Linked DNA regions of Bombyx mori. The protein of the gene in region 2 purifies or fractionates together with the protein of the main gene of each other region. This does not show direct contact. Links are inferred from orthologs where the notes say so. Each region holds a gene or a part of one and is shown on either strand. Other genes may lie near its edges. The genes, in order: nucleoporin Nup43 and spastin.

Region 1 (3,937 bases), on a different chromosome or scaffold from region 2:
GCCACCCATCTTGAGATAAAGTTATAAGGTCTCAAGTATAGTTACAACGGCTGCCCCACCCTTCAAACCAAAACGCATTACTGCTTCACGGCAGAAATAGGCAGGGTGGTGGTACCTACCCGTGCGGACTCACAAGAGGTCCTACCACCAGTAATTACGCAAATTATAATTTTGCGGGTTTGATTTTTATTACACGATGTTATTCCTTCACCGTGGAAGTCAATCGTGAACAATTGTTGAGTATGTATTTCATTAGAAAAATTGGTACCCGCCTGAGATTCGAACATCGGTGCATCGCCTCAACACTTATGCACCAGACGTCTTATCCATTAGGCCACGACGACTACAAATAACATACGACTACAAATAAATATGTAATAACATTTTATATGTAGATTTCAATTTTGTATGGGAATCAGGAATAAGATAAAAAGAATTTCTGAGTAGTCCATTCAGAGTTGATAAAAATATAAGCATGAAAAATTAAAAAAAAAATAACATTTTTTCTGTAATGAAAACTAATTTTATGATTTACTGTCTCGCATTTTTATTGTAAATTAAATTATTTTTATTAACCATACAAGTAATTTTTATACTTGTCTTTGAATCGCTATGTCTGTCTATGATGTGTGATGTCTATGACTGTGTGTATGTCTATGAACCGAAGAAAACATCATTTGATTTGGTCATTCTATATTTAAGAAAACTAAAACTTACTCTCTGTTAATCAAAAAGTTAGAGATTAAGGATTTACCTCTGTGTGTTTTAAATAACAAATGGAATGCAATGAACAGCTATCAGCCCCTTTGATTGTACGGTTGACTTCACCCCTTCGGCCACTCAATATGTTCACATTGCCATCCTCACCAATACTAGCTATGTCTCCTTCATATGTATCCAAAGATGTTGCAGAGCATTTTGTATTACTGAAATAAAGCATTTGTTACGAGTTAAGAATTAGTTATGTGTGCTATTTTCAAATAATTCAAACACTTATCAGTCATTTCCTTTTTTTTTAAAAGAACTGAATGTGTAGCAGTTTTCTAGAAAACGACATGATTGGCAGCTTCATAGGTAGGAATATTACAAAAAGTACACAATTATACATTTTTTTCTTTGGTGGTTACAATATCAGGTAATAAAACTTTGATGTTTCATTGTAACATTGGTGTAGATATTTTGTGGTATTTATTAAAATTCTTATATTAAAAAGGCATAAAATTCATCTTCAAAATTAGAAAAAAATGAACAGAAATTGTTATTGTTGATAAAATATTAGATATAAATTGTTGAAAACATTTTATAGTATGTTTACTCAAATAAAGTAATTTACATCTTAAGTTACTTGATGATAGAATTGGTAATTAATGATTTGCTGACTGGTAGAATGCATTGAGAGTGATATGGATAGCTGGCTCGATGTTTGGTGTGTGTGCCTATTGTTACCATGCTGTGCCAAAGCAGTTACAACATAACACCTGACTTCAGTATGCTCTGGTTTTCGTGAATTGTAGTTTTAACTGCTTTAACCTTTTAGTAGTTTAAAAAAAACTAGAACCTCACCCGTAGTTATGTAAAGACTTCCAAGAAAATATTTCTTTAAGTGGTGTTTGTTTATCATAAGCACTAATTTCAAGTATTTTTACATCACCATTAGATATTGAAACGGCTATTTTGTTTTTTTCCGTGAATTTTATTTGTGTAACATCATCATCTACTGGATACTTGGTAAGGGCACGAGGATATTCTACCTCTTCGTCTTCGTTAACACTTTCAAAAGTCCAAACTGTTATTAAGTTGACCTCATCATCCCAACTACCGGTGAGAAAACATTTTGTTTCAGCATAATCTTCAGGAATCCATCTGACTTTATTTATTTTTTGAGAAACAAACGTTCCTTGAATATCTATTGACATTTTTGTATACAAATGGGTCATAAAATGAACAAGAACACAACAGAAGATAAATAAACACACTTCCCTGTTTCTGGACTTTCTGATGCTTTTCTGTGCTGTAAAAATTTTTTTAAAAGGATTTTATGACCAGGTAACTAAGACCTTTAAGTCATGTTTTATTTTAATTTTAAGTATTATTTTCATGAAAAATGATAATATGGAGTGAAATGAAATGAAATGAAGATTATTAAACTGAGACATTAATCAACTGGGATGAAATTAAATTAAATGATATGAGATGATATGGGATGACATAAATCTCAGTAAAATGGTGGTCATTTACTGAGACTTTTAAGTGGACTTTTTTGAGGATCCCGAAAAGTTACGTCCAGCGGCTTTGTTTTATTTTCCCACATTTGTGCACTTTCACAGATATTAAACAGTTAATAAACCACCATTATTACACATTTAAACCTGAAGAAACACTAAATAGACAAAATAAAACAAATCATACAACTTCACTCCTCGCGTATATATTTATGTGTATACCCATAGACATTTAAACCTACCGTTCTATCATTCATTAGCGTTAACTTTTTTAATGCTTTTTTATTATTTCTCGAATATATTAAGTGTATAATCTATGATTTAAGTTATTTAGCCAATCAGAGTGCACTTGGATATCTTTATCTTTTAAAATCACAGATGTTGAAGATAACAAATTTTTGTGTTCCTGCTTTATTTAATGTGAATATCATAGCTGTAACTGTAAATCACTCTAGTACAATTAAATTCAAATTGAAATTTTCTATCCACCTTCACTTTTTATTCAGACTATCATTTTATAACCATGGATGACGAAGTTGTTTTGCTGCCAGCAAAAGCCGGTGAATTTATTGCTAGATATGCCAAGCATGTACAGATACATGAAGAAGGATTAGATAAAGCATGTAAAGAGGTAAACTTTATTTAATTTATATTGTAGTTCCAGTTTAATCTATTAAGGCTAATAGTATTAGAAAAGAAAAACAATAAACATGTTAATCTTTATTGCATACTGGTTTGAAGGGTGTAACAACCTTAGACTTTATGTTTCAAGGTATGTGACAACTTTTGCATTGTGACATCATAAGATGCAGTAACTAACATTTAACATCATGTGGGCTGTGAGTTCATCCTCAGACAAAGGGTAAAGGTAAAAAAAAATAGTCTTAGAACTTCAACTAATAAACATTAATTTACAGTTACTCACAATCAAATTATATTCATTGTTTATAGATACTCACGTCAATTTCTACAAGTAAACTGGAAATCCCTGATGCAGGAACAGGTATACATCCTAATGTTGAACACCCAAGGGCTGTGGACTGGGTGTTTGTTGCGGACACGTTAAACTTCTGTTTCTGGTCATACAGTGGAGTTCTGAAATGGACTGTTGGTGGACATTCTGGGTATTATGCTTTGGAGGCTGCCCTTGATAGAGCAATTAAGGTATTTATTATAATAATGTAAATTGAGTGCTCAGATATCATTATTGCACTGTTAGACCTTGTCAAAAGCACATTTAATTGACAATAATAACAACAGTATTCTTTATTATGTATAAAACAAGCATTATTTTTAAAGAATACTGAATTTAAGCTAAGGACAAAGAGCAGTTATAAAATGAAAGCTGATATGTATATTCACTCTGTTTCAGGAAGGTTATGATATAACAAACCCAGAATACTATTCGAAGATAACTACAGAACAACTAGAAATGATAATGAGAGGGGATAATGAAGCTAAAATACCATTGTTTACGGAAAGAATGTCTGTGCTACATGAAACTGGTGCGATTTTACTTGAAAAATACAATGGAACTTTTACGACTTGTTTGAAAGAAGCTAACAAGTCAGCCTTGAAACTACTTGAGATTATTGTGAACAACTTCCCTTCGTTCAGAGACGAGGCTGTCTACAAAGGGCAAAAATTAGGTATTTACAAAAGAGCACAGATTTTGGTGGCTGATCTGTGGAATTTCTTTGGTGGTAAATCGTGGG
Region 2 (3,837 bases):
CTCGTTATTGGTAATTAAGAAAAGTCTATTAAAATGTATACTAAGTAAACAAACTTGATAAAAATTTAAAACACCAATAATGTAAAGCAAAAGGTCGCTAGTTACCCTAGCGCCATCTAGTGATCGCGAGATCAAAACGCAACAGTCACAAATGTAGCAGGTTCAAAGATTATAATAGGTAAAGCTGTCTCTAGTATAAAATTATCGTAGTACAAAAAAAGAACAATATCATACCTCAACTACCCTCAACTAAAAATTCAAAATCCCAAATCGCCATACTGCACGGACCACTTCTCGTACGCGACGAGGCTGTGCGGAGACACAGAAGGTCGGATCCTTTTCAGCGAATCTAGGAAATCTTGGAAGGTAATGCTCCGGACCAATGACAGGTCCAGACATTTGACTTCCTCGGGATCCAGCTCTGTAAAGAAACGAAGACTTTTGAAATGTCAGCAAAGATTGTACAGACAGTGGCATTTTCACTAAGGTCGTAAGACTTCACTTCACGATGATAACTGAATAAAGACAGAAGATGTATTTTTATCTCTTTCTTTTTATTTTATAAGCTAGCATTTAATAAAGATTTAAATTATTATAGACGACATGTTTATGAAAAACGCGAGATATCCGCAAAGATGAGATTTAGGAATTACTCAAATTTAGCTCTGTCTTTGCATAGAAAAAATACAGTAAAGTTTAGTTCACACTGAGTACAACTCTAAAATATTAAAGAAAGAATTTAAAATAAAATAAATAAATAAAACAAAACGATGTTAGTTCTCAAAGCTATAACGGGAAAAGTTACTTTATTTGTTGCCACATAAGGTTCACTTAACATTAAAGGTTGTTTAACATATGCCTTTTCGTTTGTAAGTGACAGGAGTAATTTATTGCTTTGTGACCTTCGATCAATAATAGTACTAGATTAAGGATCAGGAACAAAAATAAGACGCTCCAGTGGCCACGTTTGCAGACACGAAAACATCTTCATTTCTTAGAAAAAAGTTTAATAATGTTAACGACTTCAGTTTATTATAAACCTTAATACTTAAACATAAAGTTTAATTACCATTGCAAAATATATGTATTTAGGTCCTTTCGTCAGAAAAAGAATATTATGGAATAAATTTAAAATGTCACTTGAACATAAAAAGTCATCAGTACAAAATATTTATTCTAAAATGATACTTAAAGCCTAATTTATAAGGTTAAAAATATTTGTTTAAAATTTCGTGCTTATTGCATTGTGGAACTAGATGTAGTTCTTGGTATTACATTTCAATGCTCAGAACACAGTAAGTATTGAAAGACATAGAGTTGCAGAATATACATATTTGTTTTAGGTTTGTTTTGTATGGTCGCAACTATTTTTGACAGATTCAAAAAAGTAGTAGATAATATTTTACATTGCCGCTATTACAACAAATAGGTGATAAAAAATAAAATTGAATAAAGTAAAAAAAATAAGAAAGGAAACACGAAACATGTTTTCCACGTATTCTTTATACAGAAGTAATTAAAACAATAATGTAGGTTTAATTACCTTTAAACAGATTCAGTTTGTTATAAAGCTGTCTCTTAGAAGTCATTTTTATATGAGCGGTTTCTTTTTTACAAATATAATGTAATCTTATATCAATGAATTTTTCTATAATCAGTTTAATTTAGGCTTATTTTATGGCTGTGTTCGTTTCCCCCAGAAAACAAATCCTTTTCAGCATATACGCTTAAAATATTTACACATACATATAAAGTTTTTTTAATACTTTTTTGCATTGATTTGCCACCACCATTGAACAATTCTAGAATTTTTATAAGGGTTCTATATTTCTTCTCCTCTTTCTTTCGCGACAATATATATTCATTGTGCACAGCGACAAGGGGCTACTAGGAAATCTACAAACAAAAATAACATTATAAAATAACAAAACTACTCTATGCATTCCCTGTCCAAGAATAGGTGATGTTTGTTACAATAGTTGGTGCCTTGTTGCAAACATTGGCCAAACAATTACAATATTCGTAAATTGTGTTTTATTTACAATATAATTGTGTTTATTATTTTATGAAAAACACTTAATAATATAAATTTACCAAAAAAAGATATTCCTTCCAAAACCTTGGTGTTACGGTGGTTTTTTACTCAGTTTTTGAACGCGCATTGCAGCGTTTTGACGTCTTAGTGTTGGCTATGATTGGACCATACTAATTTGAAATAAGACCACAAATTTATTTGTGGTCTTATTTTTCGGGCCGTTTTTGAAGCGCTAATCGCGAATCTAGTAGTATTATTGATCGAAGTTTGTGACGAATGATCGTAAGTATTAGATAATGTTTTGAAGATTTGGAACTTTATTACTAGGTGGCATAGTTGTAATTAGTTTAAACTTAAAACTGTTTCAAAACTTTTTTCTCCGTTTGTTGTAAACCAACGTAGCTATGTATGTGTATATTCACGCGGACAGTTTTTGCTTCGATTTTGTACGTGTCCCTTTATCTAGTTACAATTGTTGATCGAAGACTTTAAAATACGAAACCAGAGCTATCTATTAACCCACAGACACAGCCGGATCTTCGCAGTGGGTCGCATTTCTGATCCGGTGGTAGATTATGTGAAGCACTGCTCTTGCTAGGGTTCGTGTTAGAAACGTCGTTAGGTTTGAACCTGTTCACCTACTAGTTAAGCTTACGATGAAGTGGTCTCTCAAGATCATCTGCTTAGGTAGGAAAAAGCTCTCGGTGAGTTTTTTTGTTTGTTTGCTGAGATGGGTGGACGAGCTCACAGCCCACCTTGTGTTAAGTGGTTACTGGAGTCCATAGACATTAATGCGCCACCCACCTTGAGATATAAGTTCTAAGGTCTCAGTATAGTTACAACGGCTGTACTGCTTCACGGCAGAAATAGGCAGGGTGGTGGTACCTACCCGTGCGGATTCTCAAGAGGTCCTACCACCAGTAAAAAAGAGTTCGTGTTATAGAGGTCACGTGTAGGTCGTGTTGGTGTGGGCGGGCGCGCACGCACCTCGTATGGGGCCGAGCGCGGCGTCCCTGCAGAGCGCGGTGAGGTCGCTGCCGGAGTAGCCGTCAGTGAGCGCGGCGAGGCGCACCAGCTCGTCGTCCGCGAGCTCGGTCTGCGCGGCGCCGCGGGCCAGCACGCCGCGCACCAGCGCCGCCCGCACCCGCGCGTCCGGCAGCGACACGTACACGCGCTTCGGGAACCGTCTGCAACAACAAATCCATAACACCCAGTTGAAAGACTATTCAAATCTTACAATGTTATATTACGCCACATTATAAGACTGCGTTCGAAATTCTGAATGTAATTTAGTACTCTTATACGTATTATATTATATAAACCTTTAAACGAGCAATTCTTGTATATATATATAATAATATAATCTGAATCTCGGAAACGGCTCCAACGATTTTCATAAAATTTAGTATACAGGAGATTTCGGGGGCGATAAATCGATCTAGCTACGATTTATTTTCAGAAAATGGTCATCGTCTAGTACTCTTAATTTGGATCAGGATTTTTCAAGAACACAAAGTAATTGCAAAATCAATTTTCATTTTATTATAAATACTGTTCAGCACAGCAATGTACCAATAATCACCAAATGGAAAAGTTTTTTATTATTTCATTTTTCTGTTCCAATACGTTAATTATTGATGTTGCAAATTTAAAGTAAAAAAAAAAACAGAGACCACAGTCGAGAGCTATGGGTTTAGGCTTTAACGAGTTCTGTAGGAGAATAGTTGAGAACACTATATCTATCCACATTATCATTGGATTGATTTATTAAAACTAAGTCATTATTATTTTTTACCTCAACG

Evidence for each region.
Region 1: the proteins of spastin (region 2) and nucleoporin Nup43 purify together in Homo sapiens (affinity purification with mass spectrometry; 3 studies listed by BioGRID and IntAct, counting the BioPlex papers as one, with this or other methods). This does not show direct contact. The link is inferred for Bombyx mori from reciprocal best matches to the Homo sapiens genes SPAST and NUP43.

What each region holds. Positions count from the first base shown.
Region 1 is NC_085111.1:1,602,031-1,605,967, reverse strand, and holds the start of nucleoporin Nup43, read right to left. Parts: upstream 2,427-3,937; 5' UTR 2,312-2,426; coding exon 2,239-2,311; intron 2,012-2,238; coding exon 1,564-2,011; intron 927-1,563; coding exon 755-926; intron 1-754. Other genes in the region: queuosine 5'-phosphate N-glycosylase/hydrolase, read left to right, coding at 2,746-2,853, 3,174-3,386, 3,595-3,937. UniProt on the Homo sapiens protein: Component of the Nup107-160 subcomplex of the nuclear pore complex (NPC). The Nup107-160 subcomplex is required for the assembly of a functional NPC.
Region 2 is NC_085131.1:9,724,068-9,727,904, reverse strand, and holds part of spastin, read right to left. Parts: coding exon 3,831-3,837; intron 3,223-3,830; coding exon 3,023-3,222; intron 422-3,022; coding exon 258-421; 3' UTR 235-257; intron 1-234. UniProt on the Homo sapiens protein: ATP-dependent microtubule severing protein that specifically recognizes and cuts microtubules that are polyglutamylated.